Oryzias latipes: one gene and its partners. The protein of the gene in region 3 interacts with the protein of the main gene of each other region in a pairwise test. Links are inferred from orthologs where the notes say so. Each region holds a gene or a part of one and is shown on either strand. Other genes may lie near its edges.

Region 1 (4,339 bases), on a different chromosome or scaffold from region 3:
TGCACTTTATGACTGCGACCACTAGAGGGCAGCAAACACCAAATAAATAGAGTGAAAAGAACCAGTTGTACAGTTGGCTGTAGACACAAAAGGGAACTGTCCTCTCGTTCCTTTACAAATCCATCCATCCATCTTCAGAACCCACTGAACCGCTTTGGGGTCACAGGGCTGCTGGGTCCACCCTGAACAGGTCACTAGTCTGTTGCAGGACCACGCACACCTGCACACCGAGGGGCAATTTACACTCAACAATGAACCCATGAAGCATGTTTTTGAACTATAGGAGGAAGCTGCATTGCCCAGAGAAAACCCACACGTGCACGCTGAGAGCAAGCAAACTCCACACAAAAAAAGGACCTACCTGGGATTTGAACCAGGACATCTTCACTGTGATGCAGAAGTGCTGACCACTACACCATTCTGCTGCCCTACCTTAGGCATTTACGCAGCTGAACCATCACATAGCAAAGCCTCCTGTCCATGAAAAAACTCCTCGTGTTAAAAACACTATAATGGACGACCTTCTAGCTGTCATTGATTCCCATCATCGACTCAGAAAGGCCTTTGATTGTCATTTTTTACAAATATTTTTACTTTTATTTGTGATTCTCTCCTGTGCAGCCTTTGAATTTATGCATTTACTACCTAAACCTATTTTCTATGATTCATCTAAATCAAAGTCAAGACAGCCGTTGAATATTTCTCTGAGTAAATCATCCAGATGAACTAGGAGGACGTGATTCCACCCGATGCCAGAACCACAAACCAACAAATAAGAAAAGAAACAATTCCAAGTTGAAAATTATTTTATTATCATTTATCTTTTAAATTAACAAACACTGCTTTACATATTGCTGTTTTTACTCATTTTGAATTATTTGAAACAGTTAAAGCATTTGAAAAAAAAAAATTAACAGTAGAACAGACAACAGGTGACATGTAGAGCAGAAGATCTACAGTCCATGGCTTTCCTATGTGTGTTGAAGGGCTCCATAGAATTCCAGCATGCAGACAGAGTGCTGCGTTGGGGCCGTCCTGCAGGCTGGGGGGCCCCGATAACAGCTAGTCACATTACACCCCAATAGAAACACCCAGCATGTGTGTGTCTGTGTTTCTCCCAAACAAGTAGCAGCTTGTGTTGAATTGCAAAAGAAATGCAGTTTCTGCATCCAGCGCAACTTTCTTCCCCGCTGATCACAGAAAGGGTTCAAGCAAACCTGACGGTAGATTCATTGAAATGTCTCAAGTAAACAAAAGGACAAGATTCAAATTTCACCGGTCTGCCCTTCGTAGTGCGTGGCGTTTAAACCTCTTTGAAAAGGTTGTTGGCTTCCACTCCTTGATGCAGTTTATGGTCTTCATCCTCTCTTGTGTTGGGTTCTGATCCAGCTGAGCTTTGTGTCGATGGCTGGACCCCCAAATCAGAACATCTAAAGGAGATTTTCCCACTCTTTTCTAAAAAAAAACAGACTGAAATACAAACACTGCAGAAGAGGGTTGACATCATTGGCGAGTGGCGACAGTCTGGACCACAGAGGCTTCTCCTGATTTGAGCAAAATCCTCCTTTTAGACACAGACACACAAATCACAGGATTTACAAGAATCTTATTTTTGGCTTCTTGAGACCTGCCTGGCCCCCAAGATGGAGCGCTGAACCAGAGTGAGATGTTTGGAAAACAAAGATGTTTTGCGCAGAAGGAAGGTTTTGTTCAAACGTACAGAACTGTCCGAGGTGGCGGCGGCGGCTGCTGCTGCTCGCCGCACCGCCTCTGGAACAGCCAGAAACTCTGCCGCGCTCTTCAAGACACACCAAACACCGTCCCTGACATCAATGTAAATCACGTACACTTTGTCAAAAAACAGGTCGTAAAGTTCAGATACAGAATCGCTGAGGAAAAGCACACAATACTACTGGAAAGTCAAGCCACTAAGGCGGAACAGGAAGTGCTGAAGGGTTTCTTTCCCCAACACTGAGGAGGGCTCGGCTCAAACTGCTTTTCTACAGGCGGATTGAAGAAGAGAACAACAAAACAGTTTTGAAACTCCATTAGCACAGGCCATAAATACACTGAAAGTCATGGAGAAAACAGCAGAAAAGTCTACACACTCTCAGAGCCTATAGTCTCAATATCGACAGGAAAAGACAAATCTCAATGAAAAAACAGCCAAGACGACGTCTTTGTTTCTCCATAAAACTCCAGCAAAAATGCCGGCCTCGCTTAGTGATTTATTCATTTATTCGTTTTGGCAGAGTGCAAGTGTCAACAACATGGCTTTTAGGATAAAGTCAATAAAAATCTAGGAAAGAGTTGTTCTGTGGTCCCGTCAGTCATGATTGCCGCGTACGTTCAGGCAGGTTTCTTCAGAATCGTCTGTAAACATGATGACCCCTGGAGTTGAAATGGTGACAGGATGATGCTTTAGGGTTGTTGCACACCTTGGGTGGGGGGGTTGTGGCGTGGTACTTATTGCCCCCCCCCTCCTTCAAACCCGGAGGGGAGACGGCTCACGCAGTCGACTTGGTCCAGACTTTTGAATGTGCTTCAAAAACACAGGAGGGGGGTAAAGGGGCAGTTGACCCTGGGGTTTGACCACAGTGTTACTTCCTGGCGTCGGCTGCCTCCTCCACTCAGAGGGCCAGGAGGGTGGGGGAGTTGAGGGAGTCGGAGGACTGATCCCCGCCGCTGCTGCTGCTCCGCCGGTGGGCCTTGGAGCAGGACTCGGAGGAGGGTGAGGGGCTCTCCGGCTCCAACATGTTGGGGTAGGTAAATATGAGGTTGGGGGCATTAGGTGTCGTGGCTGGGGTGGAGGCCACCACCACAGGCGTGTTCAGGCTGTCTCCGTCTGGACAGTACAAGCCGCCGCCACTGATGCAGATGGGCTTGATGACGGAGCGCTGCGGTTTGTTCAAACCTTCGTCTGCGTCGTCCGGCTCCTGCTTCACCACCACTTGGCTCATCTGAGCCCTGGAGCCCACGCCGGGGCGCATGGACAGCGGGAGCAGGTTGCACTGCTGCTGCTGCGCCGAGGGCTGGTGGCGCTCGGAGAGGGGCAGCTTGCACACAGGGTTGTGAGCGACGAGCATGAACTCCAGCTTGTCTTTCTCCTTCTGCAGGTTCTCGATCTCCTTCTGCAGGTCGGCCTTCTCCTCCTCCAGCTTCTCAGTCTCCTGAGGAAAGAGGAAACAGAAGTTGAGCTTTGAACGCTGTCAGCGGTGTTGACGTTTCTCTAAAGCCCCAGAAGAGGGCAGTGTTTACCTCTTCATGCAAAATCAACAAACCCAAACAAGGCTTCTAAACATTATCAAAGACATAAAATCTCAAGCATGATTTGAGCATTCAGCCATGGCTGTGATTGTGATTCATGTCTTAGAATAAAACAGATGTAGATAAAGGAGGCAGACCCTAAAAGTGCTGCTTTCATGCTCTCAGAGAACTTTGGCTGGTGTGCAAAGGTATGAGGAAGTTGTTAACAAGGAACTGAAGAAAGGTGGGGTGAAGCGAAGCTCTTCAGTGCTTTAAGGCAACACACACTGCAAACATTTAGACCGTTTTTCACTCTGAGTGAAAAAGGAACTTTAAGTTTCTGTGGAAGTGTTGCACGGGCTGCGGGGTCGAGCCGGTCGCCTCTTTACAGAACGTCCTGCCTTCCCGAGCCGGGTCTAAATTCCACACAGGGCTCATTTTTATGGTCTGTTAAGCTCCACCTCACTGGGATTTTACTCCATTTAGATGTTGTAGCTGTCTGTGAGGCATGAGCAGCGGGACGCTTCTCCTTCTGTCTGCAGCAGAAACGGCTTTTCATCTGTCAGTGATGCTAACAGGAGGCTCGTACAGGAGTTTAGTTTTTTCTTTAGAAGGAAGGCAAGAACCATAGATGGGCGCTAGAGCCAAAGGCGAATGTGGGACTCACCCCTTGCAGCATCTCGGTGAGCTCTCGCCTGCGATTGCGGCACTTAGCTGCGGCCAGTTTGTTCCTCTCGCGCCTTACCCTCCTCTTCTCCTCCTCCTCTGGGGTGAGCTGTAGCCAGGTTAAGAAAAAAACAGATGGATTTAGTTCACTGTAAAATTCCTCCTTTAAACTTGCTTCACATGTTACATTTCTCATCATCCCGTGCTGTTCTAACTCAATCACCCACCTGCTCGTCTCGCTTGCGTCGGCCTCTGGCGTCGCCGATGGAGCGTATGACTCCGGGTCGAGCCAGCGTGTTGTGACCCAGCAGCCCTGGTCCGTTGGTCAGATGATGGCCATACGGGTGGGAACGAGAGTAAGGGTTGGACATGGAGGTGATGACCGTGGGCTGCACCATCCACTGCAGGTCCTGGCTTGTTGTGATTG
Region 2 (4,253 bases), on a different chromosome or scaffold from region 3:
TGTGATAGTGAGCACTTCTCCTTTGCCAAGACAATCCATTCCACCTCACAGGTGTGCCATATCAAGATGCTGATTAGACAGCATGATTATTGCGCAGGTGTGCCTTAACTTTATTAATTTGATTTTATATACTTTACCTTTTCAAAGGGCTGTTGTTTTCTTTTTTATAAATGCAGGCTGCGTTTTATTGCACTCTGTTTAGTTCCCAGAGAGGGGCACGTCACGCACGTTCCGTTTTGTTGTTTTTTGTTCGAATCCTCAAAATAAAAATGACATAAAAAATCAGATTTCTTTATGACATTTCTTTAATTTTATCAAATTAATGAAACATAATTCATTGATATTGTAATGAAGTTAAATTTGCACAACAGAGCAGTCACTTGACCTGTCGTTCTCTGCAGAATGCAATGCAGGGCAAATAAACATTTAGTTGTTAATGCTCACTATGTATTTGTAGCAACTTCATTTTGATAGAAGGCTAATATAGCTATTATATATACATATTGCATGTGTTGCCTTCATTATAAGGCTTAAATAGGGCTTTTAATATTTTGCGGCTACAGAAATGTTTGTTTTTTGTTTTTTTCGTTCAATTTGGCTCTTTCAACATTTTGGGTTGCCGACCCCTGGTTTAGGCTGTCATCAACAACACCTACATGAATAATAATTTCACACATTGCTGTGATTTTATCTGTGTTTAACAATAAAGCAAATAATAATATAATTTTTTTTAAAAACTGAGAATAGGAACCAAGAGGAATGAACACAAAAGCAAATAGGATTTTTCTGTGTTATTGAGTTTGAATGAGACAGAGCGGAGATGTTAGACTTTGTGGTGCTGCTCTGATTCTGATTGGTGGATCCAAGCAAAATATCTGTTAAGGAAATACTAAAGCTCATAAAAACTGTCTTGATTTTCTTTATCAAATTATATATTATGCAATATTTATTTAAGTCTTGTGTTTTTAGTGATTTAGTGGGCATATTTAACAGTGATGTGGTTTTGAGCAGATGGCAGAATTTTGGGAAGCTGGAAAAGAAGTGAGAAGGACGACATAACTGCTTTATTTGCCTAGTCAAGGGTCTAAACATCTGAACTTTTCAGGTTTTCTGAGTGATCCTTGACCTGGAAGGGTTAGTATCATTCAAATATTCCAGACCTTCCAGAAGCACAAACTATTGGAAGGTTAGCTGAAGGTCTTTGGAGCTGCTGACTCAGCTCTAAGTCTTGCTGAACCATTTCATTGTCAGTTGAAGGTTAAGTAGAGGTTGTGAAGAGCCTGCTGACATAGCATGCGCTGATGTTGTTGCTCAAACACCAAAACTGGTTTTCATATTTGTGTTTTCACTCAAACCAAAACAGTGAAAGAGACTTTGTCAGCTGATCTTCAGGCCGCCCTGACACTGATCAATATCTACCCCGTCCTATAAACCGCCCAACTGCACCTTCTTTTTGAAACATAAGAGCTGCTGATCAGGTTCTAATTACAACACGTAAAATATTTGCAATGTCCAGTTAAAAAACTGGACACTGTCCAAGCATGTCATGCAGGCTGAGCACAGAGACCTATAGAGACGGCCTTTACTGCCAGATAGACTGATTGTTCTGTAATCTGTTTGATTCTTTTGGATTCTTCACTGCAGGCAAGCATTCATTCTGTCCTCTTTAGATGTTTAGTGTAACAAGAGTCAACCAGAAGACTCCTCCAACTTTGACCCGTCTGTCTGTCTGTCTGTGTCTCCTTCTGTCTGTCTGCACTTGTCTGACTGTCTCGCTGTCTCTGTCTGTGTGCAGGACCTGAAGCAGTTCGACCCCTTCCAGGAGTGGACAGATGGTTACGTTCGCTACATCTACAGCGGTGAGACATTTTGAGTTTACCGTACAGATGAAATGCCTCCTCAGCTGTGAATAAGTGTTCTGATTGGACAGTTGAACCTTTAGGTTAATGAGCAGATGTGTCTGTGCAGTCAAGCATCTTTTCTTGTTGGCACAAATCCTAATAAATACAGTTTTTAGGCCAACGTTTTATTGTTTTGACTTTTACTAACTGAATCCATGGGAAACTGCAACAGTGGCAACAAAAAGCAGGTGAAAGGTTGAACCTTTTTCTTGGACCTCAGATCATACAGCAGTCTTTGAGGAGCGGCTGAACACTTGGGAGGTTTGAACTTGCGAGTCTCTTTGTTTTGCAGCTGAAGATAAAAACGCTCAGCGACATTTGTCGGGCTGGGCCATGAGGAACACCAACAACCACAACTGTCAGATCCTGAAGAAGTCCTGTCTGGGTGTGGTGGTCTGTTCTCGGGGGTGCTCGCTGCCAGACGGATCCAGACTGCAGCTCCGACCCGCCATATGTGACAAAGCTCGGCAGAAACAGCAAAGTAAGGACTGAGTGAGACCATGTGTCCGTAGTCCCTGCTAGACCAAACTCATAACGATGTACGTTCCAGAAAAGCTCTGCCCGAGCTGCAGCGCTGGTCTGGAGCTGCTGCCGTGTCGAGGTCACAGCGGCTATCCTGTCACCAACTTCTGGAGAGTGGACGGAAAATCCATCTTCTTCCAGGTAGAACCGGTTCAGTACTTTGTCACTCAGCTGAACGGAAACGTATGTGCTGAAAGAGAAATCGGGTCCAGAGATCTTTAAATGATGTATTTAGCAAAAAACTAATACAAATGTTATTTTATGAAAAATCATTAATAAAGAGAACTTTCTTTAGATCAGATTCCAATCGATCATTTTGATTCAAAATTATGGCCTGCAGCCGTCACAGACTGCAGGGACCAGGTTGTTTTTGTCGACATATCCGATATCCGAGCCAAAAAGGCCTGAAAAAAAGTGTTACAATCAGACTGGAAAAGATTAAAGTGTTGAGAGGAAGAGGGTGATGTGAGTGTGTTTATGGTGTTAAAAATTGCTTTTGGGTTTCTTTTGTTCATTGAAATAAGTTTGTGAAAAAATGTTGACCTAGCTTGCTTTATCATATCATTTAGGGTGGAGGGTGGCTCTTTAAGATGCAGCCTGTGCACTTCCAGTTTTATTGTTTTCCATAGACGTTCTACTTTACGACAAAGTCTTCTGAAGGAACGAATGTCAGCAGTTATCCAAGGAAATGACTTATTAGAAGTGACGCTCTCTCTGACAGCAGCAATTGTGTTTATAATGGTTTCACAGTGACTGTTAAAAGAGTGCAAAAAAGAGTCTACACTGTCAAAAGGGTTAAAAGAATTTGTATCAAACAGATCTGTGAATCTATCCGACTCATTCTGACGTAAAATTCGTCTCTGCATTCTAACAGGTGTGGGTGAAGGCGGGTGGGGGGAAATCACACTAACCCTTGTGCTATCTTAGATGACCCCACCCTTACTTTGATGTGTTCTCCCTACCATGACAAAGGTGGATAAAGGTGGAAAGATTTCATGTAATCCATGGACACCAGTAAAGATCACAAATCATTGAAGAAAAAAGGTTCAGAGCACTGTCTAGTGGGTCTAGATGACCCAACTCCCAATGGTAAAGTGCCTAGGATAGCACAAGGCTAAAGAAAATTCAGCAGTGATCACCGATGTGACTGTCTTTAACTCTAAGCTGCTTAATATGTAGACTTAGGGAAAAGACTATGTCCAGAGTGTGCAAAATTCAAATATTTAGTTATAAATAACAATTCTGAAGCAGAGACACAGGAAGAGTCATGAATGTGAATATTAAAATCACCCAGTGAGAGTACAGGGTTCAAATTGATAATACCTGATTAAAACTCAGCAAACTCGTCTAAAAATACCCGTGCAGGGCCAGGAGGTCGGTAAATTAAAATGCAATAAAACGGGGAGTCAGATCCAACCTTAGTGATCTGCAGTTCAAATGAGCTGAAAGAATCTGAGCTCAGCTTCCAGCCGGAGGCTAGAAGACTACCAAATGTCCTGGTAGATGGCGGCCAGTCCCCCCCAGACTGCCCCGTCCCACAGATTGTTGAGATGGATGCGCTCCATCTTCCGCTGCCATGTCTCTGTCAGGCAAAGGAAGTCCAAGTGCTCCGATGTGAAAGAGTCATTCAGATGAAAAGCTTCGTTAGTGATGGAGCGTGCGTTCAACAGGAGTTGATCCTCAGATGATCCCCAGATTTCCCGGCAAAGGGGTCGCAGGGTTCAGGCGTTAACTCCTCTATGGCGCAGACCGGGCAACCAGGGCCGTTTTGTCAAACCCCGTTGACAGGAGTCAGCCAGCTGATCACAGGCTCCAGGGAGCGATAGGAAG
Region 3 (4,794 bases):
CTGGTTGGTTCATTTGTATATGCTGAATGCTTCTGTTCTGGCTCTACCTTGAAACCTTCAGGCAAGGGTGCAGGGAAACAGCCAAGCTTGACTCAAATGCTTTTTTGGCACATTATAGAATGGGAAGTGAATCGACAGGATTTTCATACCCAAACGTCTGTTAAATGTGGGAACTTTAAACCTTGGACCAAGGACATCTCAAGGCATGCAATTATTCTGTATTAAATGGAGTTGTTAAAGGCATTTGCAGTTCTGTGCTCACAATTTGGTTTTTCCTTTGAAACTGTCTTTCCTTTTGAGGTAAGAGTAAAGCACAGACATGTAATTGTATGCTTAAAGAAGCCTAATTACCCCCTAAGCAGAGTCACTTACACTTCACACTCTTTATTTGACAATATAAATTTTATGTGCTCTTTAAAAGAAAGTCCTGGAATGGACTGGGCGATGCAAGAAAGGAAAGACTAAAAAGAAGTTAGTGAGAGGAGATGCCTGGATTGTGAGGAGACATTTTACTTCCCACTGGGGCCCTGGCTCAGGGGATAGAGTTTCAGACATTTACCAACAAAGCATCCACGGAGGAAGCCTTGCGACCCTCACAATAACACTACAGCACCTGGCAATCCCCTCACAGGAAATCTGAGGTCACTTCCCCCCTTTTTAAGGGAATGCAGACACACTACAACAGCCAGCCACGCGCCCCCACATCCTACCAAGGAGGGAACTGACTACCATAACAACCAATTTAAACATGCTGAAGTTCCAGTGCTACACTTTCATACACACACATATATATATATATATATATATATATGTATATATATATATATATATACACACAAAATGACAAAACCAATATTATTGTTCTCATAGCTGTTTGAGGAGGTTCAATCCAGGGCACTGCATTATGGTTTTATTGTCATAGCACCTTTTTTTTTTAAATTCCAAAATATCTTTATTGTGATTTTCAAAGCTTTATATGTTATAGCACCTTTAATCATTTTTTTACAGAAAAAACCCCAAAAAGATTAGAACCAAAACCTAATACATTACGGACTTATTTAACTTCACCAAAGCCTTGTGATGGAATTATCGGGCCGCATCCCGCCTTTGCCCTGAACTTTTGACACTCCACAAGGATAAGCAGGTACTGATAATAGACAGTGCCACCAAAATTATAACTAATTATTACTGAGACCTCAATAAGTAAGCTTTTCAAACAGGCACCTGATTATTGGGTTGTACTTCACATTTTGAGTGAAGGTGGAGAGTAAAACTATGTAGAAGTTGAAGACAAACGAAACTCTGTGATGTAGGACTGTTGATCAGACACCCACACGTGGGATTTTAAGGCACTGAGCAATTACACGAGCACAAATTGTGCCAATGGAGGAACACACAGCTGCACAATGTCACAAGAGGACTACATCAACGCAAATTCCAATTCTGCTCTCAAAAACCACCTGCAAACACTTGACCGCCAACTCCTCCATCATTACCATTGGCCAGGTTTCAAATGGTGCCAACACATAAAGGCTGCTAAAACCAGTTCAAATTATTTGGTTGCAGTCCTGCTGCAGTTTTGGAACTGGCCAGAGTCCAAAAACCACGCAGAGCTAACCTTTGGAAAACACTGGGACCTCTGAAGAATGTGACCATGGTCAAAGAAATGGAGGCGGTGGGAGGAAAAAAGCAAACAATGACATTATGCAGCTCTGTATGCTCTGTCAAGGCAAACTTCCCAGATGCTAAATGGAACCGAATAAGAGACATGTAGTTAAAGGGTGTTTCCTCTGCTGGTTATCCTTACTGACCATGTAAGAAAAAAACCTGTAGGTGGCAAGAGCACCCCAGCACTCCTCAGACCAAAAACTTTTAGAAGAGGCATACTACAGCACCATGTTGACTTCTATGTCCAGGCTGCAGCTGTATCTTCTCTTGCATCTACTCACAGTTGGATCAGGAGATTTTCTTTTTGTCTACCACGCTGGAGACAAACCAGCAGATTAAAATGTATGTTCTATACTGCAGAAAAAGGATTGCTTATGTTTAAGAGGAGGACATTGACATTATTTCTTTTTATTCATGCTGCAGTTTGTTAGTTGGGTCAAGATCATGAAGAATCAATGCAATTTTTCTCTGTCTGGAAATCAAGATTAAGTTGTTTGTGAAAGACCTTTTAATCTCCCAAAAATTCTGGGATTCTCTTGCAACCGATGTCAGAACAACCCCCAGTTCTTTCTTTGCTGCCTGTTTCAGCAGACTATATTCAATCAGAGCTTAAGGAAGAGCTTTTTGTGAACCAAAGGCATCGATTTAAAACAATCTCTTCCTCTATCTGTTATACAGACTGTTAAACTTTTTACAGTCAAGGCTGACCACCTCACCCTCCCACTGCACCCACATGACCCAGCAGGTGAGCCAAACTGTCATCACAATGACACGTACCATGAGGTGCTGCACGACTCCAGACGCTACAGCATAGACACACCCATTGCACACTCTTACTGCTATTTGCCACTTTCCCCTTTTGCAGAAAAAAAGAGGCAAGTTTCGCCTGTGGGACTTAGTCCTGTGAAGGCTTCACTTGGAGCTCAGCTTGAACTTCTCTGACAAAACAGTTGCTCCTGAATCCTTCATATGCACAGTTCAGAGGGTCACACAAGCTAATATGGTCTGTTTCTTCATCGGAAGGATGTTATTTATATTTCCTCCGCCTTGTACACTCTACGAGTGTACAGAGGGACACAACTGAATTACTGAATGAGAGGGAAGGGAAAAAGTTAAAGACAGCAACAGCAAATTTAGACAATGTCTAAACACGCAACCAGATACTTCTACTTCAGGAATTGTAGATATTTGGTTGAGCCTACTCTCAAAACCCTTTCCCCCCCAACTATACTTTCATTCAGTCATAAAGGACTAAGTAATGGACTTGAAAGAACCCAGATTATCTTATATATTCATACACACCTGTGTTTGATTTAGGATCAACAGGTTACTCAATGAAAATGATGGAGCCAAAATGTCTCTTCTTACCAGTCAGACTGATTGAAGTGTGGAGGCACCTTTCCAAGCTGCTGTGGTGGTGATCCAGCCGCCTTCCTCCCGTCAGCACACGGCCGCTCAGGTCAGCACACGGCCGCTCAGGTCAGCACAGGGATCAGCTCACAGAAAAAGCTCAGGAGTGTCGCTCTCCGGCTCTGAAACGTTCTGTTTTATCTGCTTGTCATTAGCTCGTGCTGGTTTGCGGCGCCTTCCATTCGTGAAACCCGGGTTCGACTCCGGTCTGCTCCCTGTTCCCTTCTCTACCTCTGCCGGTTCCAAGCCCGGTTTGAGAAGGTTGCGTCAGGAAGGGCATCCGGCGTAAAACATTGCCAAATTTACCATGCGACTTGTTCGCTGTGGCGACCCCTGATGGGAGAAGCCGAAAGTGGAAGCAAAGCATGAAAACTCTGCAGCACAGAGGGGTGCAGCTTGCCGGCTACTTTTGTCCTACTACTGAGGAAGTTGCTGGTGAGTCACAAGATCCCGCCCCCCCAAAAAAGGCATTCCTCCCTCCCTCTTTCCAGCGACTTCAAACAAGAGTGGAAAAGGCCCATGCAGGCAAGAGGGGAGATTCTTGCAAGGCTCTTTTGTCTCTTCAACATTGCATTGCAGTGGGTTATAATAGAATTTTGTTTGTTTTGAGTTTAGAGCAGAATATGTGAAGCCTGCATGTCATGAGATGTTTGAGTGTGTGGACCACAGGTGCTGGAGGCTTCTGAAGGATTTCTTTAAAAATAGCAAAACCATCAATGAAATTACATCACAGGATTATATGTATTATTATTATGGTTGTTGTTTTGAAAGGGAGGGACATAAACAATCCTTCCAAAAATGACCACGAAGGGTTAAAGATTGATCTAATTGTTAAATTACATTCCTCTTTTTTTTACAGTGTTTTAAGTTCAAATGATTCATTTGTGTTAAGACAAACGAATAAGTCGACTTATTCAGGATTAAGCTGACCTATGCTCTGACAAAGTGAATGCTCTTTACTTCAGTGTTAATCATTAAAAACACGAATCATTATTAATTTAGATTTTTTTAATAGAATTTAATGACATTTTACAAAGAAAATGGAATTAACTATTCAAACTCATGCATTGCCTTTCCTTTTAAGATATTTTCTCTCTTTTTTAAGACAAAAAAGACAAAAAACGCTTTCTCTTTACTGTTGATGTAAGACTCCTTTTTTAAATAAAAGTGGGCTACCACTTTTGTTTGTTTTAAAAGACATGTTTTCTTAATCAAAACTGGTTTTGGAAATAAATTGATGAAATAAAGCAACATTTAATTGATTCGTATTTAATCACAAATCAATTACAATCTATTTGGTTCAGTAGTTGTTGCATTAATACACAACCCCTTTAGTTCTACATTATTGACATATGTACTACGTTATTTATAGAAATTATTTATCTAAATCTTTACTAACATCAAGTTAATCTAGCTCTTTTTTTATAACAATTTTTAGGTCTTCAATCAAAAAACAGAGATTATGAATTAGAGGACTGATGCAAGAACAAACTAAACAAAAAGAGACTGAAATTCACAAGCATTGCCCACCAGCTTTTTAATTTTACCTTTACATTTTGCTTGCCGCAGGAGAAGTAAATAGCATAAATAGATATATTCGTTATGTCCCATAGCACTTTACAATGGCAAATCCCATTCACCCATGCACACAGATGGTGTCAGAGCTACCATGCATTCTAGCCAGACCATTTGTCATGACATATGGGCATTCAGAGC
Region 4 (4,253 bases), on a different chromosome or scaffold from region 3:
CTTTGTATCATTCACAATCTGCGCACAAACAGTTTGCCACTGACATGTATATTTTTAAGCCTGAAGTTTTTTTCTAGGTTTGGATTTTGTATGCTGCTGTCATTTTAGCAATTATATTTAAGCCTCTACAAATAGCAACTCTATTTTTAATGTATCTCTATTTTGCAAGTTTTAATAGATAAAAACATAAAAAAGGAAAAATTCTTTAAAAAATGTTTTTTTAGCTATCTTTCAGTCATGTGTATTTTCCTTATTGAATTTGAGAGGAATATGAGCAGATGTCAGAACACCTCCATACTTTTGGTGTTTTCCAGGGTGCCGGTGAGATGGGCAAGTACACCTGTCTGATCTGTCAGAAGGAGTTTAGCTCAGAGAGTGGTGTCAAGTACCACATAAGTAAAACACACTCACAGGTGGGTCCCCCCCCCCCCCCCCCCATTAGTGGAAACCTCATAGCCATAAAACAGGCACCGATGTCTTCCATTACACAAACTATTTTTCCATCATCCTTTGCTGAGTGAACACGTCTGCATTGAAATGGTTGCTTTTGTTTTTATTGAAAGTGATTGAAAGGGTTTGGTTGGACATGCTTTAAACACAGCTTAAGTGAGATCATCTTAATGTCATCTATCGGAAAAAGCATACTCAGTTGTGTTTGTGTCTAACTTTATAGTGTTTATTTAAAAAAGAAGTAACAGATTATGTAATTGAATAAAAAAAAAGCACAAAACATATGTTCTTCATTTATTCATTCATGTATTTATTTATTTGTGGGTCAAAGAAGTTAGACCACATAACACCACAACGCTGCCATTGCAATACTTGCTTTTTGTTAAAATGTTGCTCCTTACTTTTAAGTCCCTGGCAGGTACGGCACCATCTTACCTCTCCAGTCTGCTTTTAAAATATTCCCCCCTAAAGTCCTTATGTTCCACCGACCAGTTTGTGTTAATGGTTCCCAGAACCAAATGCAAGTTTTGGGGGAACCGAGCATTTGCTGGGTTGCCTCCTAAACTATGGAATGATTCCATAGTTCCAAACTCTCCAAGGCAATTGTTCCTCCATTTTAGCGCTTTAGCATCAGCCTAGTCCTAGTTTTAATCTCTTTTAAATTGGTTTTATGCTTTATATTCTTTTCTATTTATGTCTCTACTATGTTTTTAATTTGCTTGTTTAATTTGCTGTTAATTCTTTTATGCTTTGTTCTCCATGTGTACAGCACTTTGGGTCTCCTTGGCTGGCGGTGGAAGGTGCTTTATAAATAAATAAATGAATGAATGAATGTTTTTACTACGGGTAATTTCATTTCTGAGCAATTTGTTATAGTAAGTCGTTATTCTGGGGTTTTTGTATCATTAACAATGTTGATAAAGCAGTACAAATAGTAAATTTATTAATAATATAGCACAGAGTGAGATACTAATAGAAGTACTGAAGTGTTCTGTAGCTCTTCTAGAATCAAATTGGAAAAAATGTCACTATTGGCTGAACGCTCTGACCTAAAAGTGTGAGGAAGCCACTGCTGTCAGCTGGCTTTTTACTAAACAGTGCTGTGAAAAAGGTGTAAACTTTACTAGTTCATCATTTCCTAAACTAGTTATCTTGTGAAAACCCAAACATAAAGAATGAAAATCAAGTTTTTTGAAAAAAAATGATCAAATATAATTGATAACGCATATTCTACAATTTTTCCTTTATACAAAGTTTTTCTTTGAAATGCTAACTTATAATGCAACACACAAGCTTCTGGTTTAAATGTATTATCTTTAGAGTGACTTTTTTCTGTAGGATTTACATCATCATCATTTTCAATATATTATTCTGATTAATGTCTTCCTTTTAAGAGTGTTCAAACACGTTTTTATAATATTTTAATGATCTCATCGTGCATTGAATTCTTTCTCTTCCCTCTAAGAACTGGTTTCGTACTGCAGCCAACCATGTGGTGTCTGGTAACAAGAGCAAAGTGGAGGAAAATAATGGGATCAGAGCTGAAGTGAGGAACGGTGCCACCACTGGTAAGAAGAGAGGGCGCAAACCTAAAGAGCGCCCCAGTGTGGACGCTCCTCCACAAACAGATATCGAAGCACTTACTCAGAATACTGTCCTAACTGTGGCCCCTCCCTCTGGACCAGCACAGTCCTCCGCCTTGGTTCCCAACTGTACGGACGGTGACTACCCATGCCACAACAGACAGCCTGTCCCCTCAGCCCCCAGACGAAGCAAACCTAAAAGGCCCTTTTTTGAGTAGTTCTGGAGCCAGCGAGGAGCTTCAAACATTGCAAATGACGGGAAACCTCTCGAACTCCACAGAAACTCTGGGCTTAAGAAGAAACTCAAACCCACCAATAAGAAAGAAACAAATGTTAGTCCTTAAATTCTAATTCAAGACTCCGGATTTCGTGTTTGCACTGGTATGAACAATATTCACAAAGGTTTTTTCCTCCATTCCACTATTGTCTCCTTTCTAAGGCTTTCAGTTTTTATTTTTGTTTTCCCAGCAGGGGGGGTAATCGCAAATCAAATCCAGAACTTAAACATGCTAGTTTTTTGTTTTGTTATTTTTAACAATCATAGTTCTCTATATTAAAGAAGACACAAGTTTTCTCTGTGAGATACATGTTGTGCTTGAGAGGTTTTTAAAAATAGAAATTTTATCAGCATGAAGAAGCCATTTATCGAAAGCTAGTGTTGTCACAGATAGACTTGTCTGTGTACATAAACAGTAAATATATCTTTGTGTATATTTAAAGCAAATATTCATTTTTCATTTTCAAGTTGAGCAGATTCAGTTTGCAGTCTAAAGTTTTTTATGGGCGTAAGTGACATTTTGTTCCTTGTTTCTTCTTTTAACCTGCTTATCTATTTGGGTTAACATGTTGGCCAGTTTTAAATCACGGTTCACTCTTTAAAACTACTTTGACAGGACGAATAAGATTGTCTGCCTTACAGATTGTTTCCTCAGATCTTTTTTATTGAAACTAACAAACTGAATCCCCCCCAAAAAACGATTCAAAACTCTTAAATATATACATTTTTTAAGTTATGCTTAATGCAATATTTTAAACAGAATCTCCGTCTATATTTGGCCCAGGAAAGGTAAATATTAGACAAAGGGAAGAACTTTGTGTGAAACTTATCTAAGACTATTGCAGCACAATCACATCATGTGACACCACTTTAAATAGGGCCAAGCTTTGGCAACTGCTTTAGCTTACATCTAAGCTGAAGAGAGGATTTTAAAATATATATATATCTTTTATAGAGCATTTGAGAAAAATACATCTTTATTAAAGAAAAAGAAAAAAAACTTCTGATTAAAATTCACAGAAAGTAATGCATATGCATGAGTTCCTGGAAGCTCAAAGTTATTGCCTTGCACTTTAACACTCGAGCTTTCATGCTTGCCTTTTTGCACTCCAAGAATATACAACTGAAGTGCAGGAATGGGAATATTTTTTAACTCCAATGAAAGCTGGAGTTAGGGGAAAAAAAATCAGCACAGTTAACACTTTGAGTCCAGGATGACAGTAACATTTACAACATCAGAAAGCCATAACTGGTTGTTAGTGTGCTGCCACTAACTGTTAGATTAGCCTCAGATTTGCTTTAAAAAAATTGAAAAAAGTTAAATACATTTTATGACGTGGAATATTTTCACTTGGTAATGGTAAACTACTTCATTTTGTAGTTGAAATTATAATAGAAATTCCATAAGAATTTAATATATTATTGTTTGTATCAATTCAAAAATACTAAGTATAAGACTTAAATCTGGACTCTTTAAATAAAAAAAACTGTGGTGTGGGGATATTCTGGTGAAAATATAAAGGTGCTTTACTAGCCTTTCTACCTTAAAGACCTGAAACAACTCACGCACATCCACCAATCCATTTTGCCATGTTCTTCGTGTTTGCAAGTTGTCTGAATTTTGCACCAAAACGTCATGTCATCATGAAAACAGTGAAGAACTGAACTGTTTAGGTGTTCCTAAAACCACAAGGAGCTGATAGTCAGAAGACAGTGAAGAAACATTTTGTTTTAAAAGTAATTTTGAGTCCTTCCTAAGCTGTAAACTTTTAAAACATAAACCAGAGATCCAGTATGATTTTTTTTTCTTCCTAATATGAGGATGGAGTTCATCCAGTCGGGAATGGCTGTGCACTTGTTTAGGGATGGACCTTTATCTTCTGTGGAGTTTCAGCTGAGGAAGCATCATTCAGACGAGCACTGATTGGTCTGTGGACCTGTTC

Evidence for each region. The genes of interacting proteins can lie anywhere in the genome.
Region 1: the proteins of fhl3 (region 3) and fosl2 interact in binary tests that used the Homo sapiens proteins (3 or more experiments, as listed by UniProt). The two-hybrid records come from large-scale screens. The link is inferred for Oryzias latipes from reciprocal best matches to the Homo sapiens genes FHL3 and FOSL2.
Region 2: the proteins of fhl3 (region 3) and gcm2 interact in binary tests that used the Homo sapiens proteins (3 or more experiments, as listed by UniProt). The link is inferred for Oryzias latipes from reciprocal best matches to the Homo sapiens genes FHL3 and GCM2.
Region 4: the proteins of fhl3 (region 3) and znf512b interact in binary tests that used the Homo sapiens proteins (3 or more experiments, as listed by UniProt). The two-hybrid records come from large-scale screens. The link is inferred for Oryzias latipes from reciprocal best matches to the Homo sapiens genes FHL3 and ZNF512B.

The regions. Positions count from the first base shown.
Region 1 is NC_019880.2:25,929,340-25,933,678, forward strand, and holds the end of fosl2 (fos-related antigen 2), read right to left. Parts: coding exon 4,140-4,339; intron 4,022-4,139; coding exon 3,914-4,021; intron 3,171-3,913; coding exon 2,631-3,170; 3' UTR 789-2,630; downstream 1-788.
Region 2 is NC_019878.2:1,852,333-1,856,585, reverse strand, and holds part of gcm2 (chorion-specific transcription factor GCMb), read left to right. Parts: intron 1-1,795; coding exon 1,796-1,859; intron 1,860-2,193; coding exon 2,194-2,382; intron 2,383-2,451; coding exon 2,452-2,564; intron 2,565-4,253. UniProt on the Homo sapiens protein: Transcription factor that binds specific sequences on gene promoters and activate their transcription. Through the regulation of gene transcription, may play a role in parathyroid gland development.
Region 3 is NC_019874.2:23,736,755-23,741,548, forward strand, and holds the start of fhl3 (four and a half LIM domains protein 3), read right to left. Parts: upstream 3,325-4,794; 5' UTR 3,037-3,324; intron 1-3,036. UniProt on the Homo sapiens protein: Recruited by SOX15 to FOXK1 promoters where it acts as a transcriptional coactivator of FOXK1.
Region 4 is NC_019865.2:15,572,849-15,577,101, forward strand, and holds part of znf512b (zinc finger protein 512B), read left to right. Parts: intron 1-314; coding exon 315-413; intron 414-1,915; coding exon 1,916-2,251; 3' UTR 2,252-4,253. UniProt on the Homo sapiens protein: Involved in transcriptional regulation by repressing gene expression. Associates with the nucleosome remodeling and histone deacetylase (NuRD) complex, which promotes transcriptional repression by histone deacetylation and nucleosome remodeling.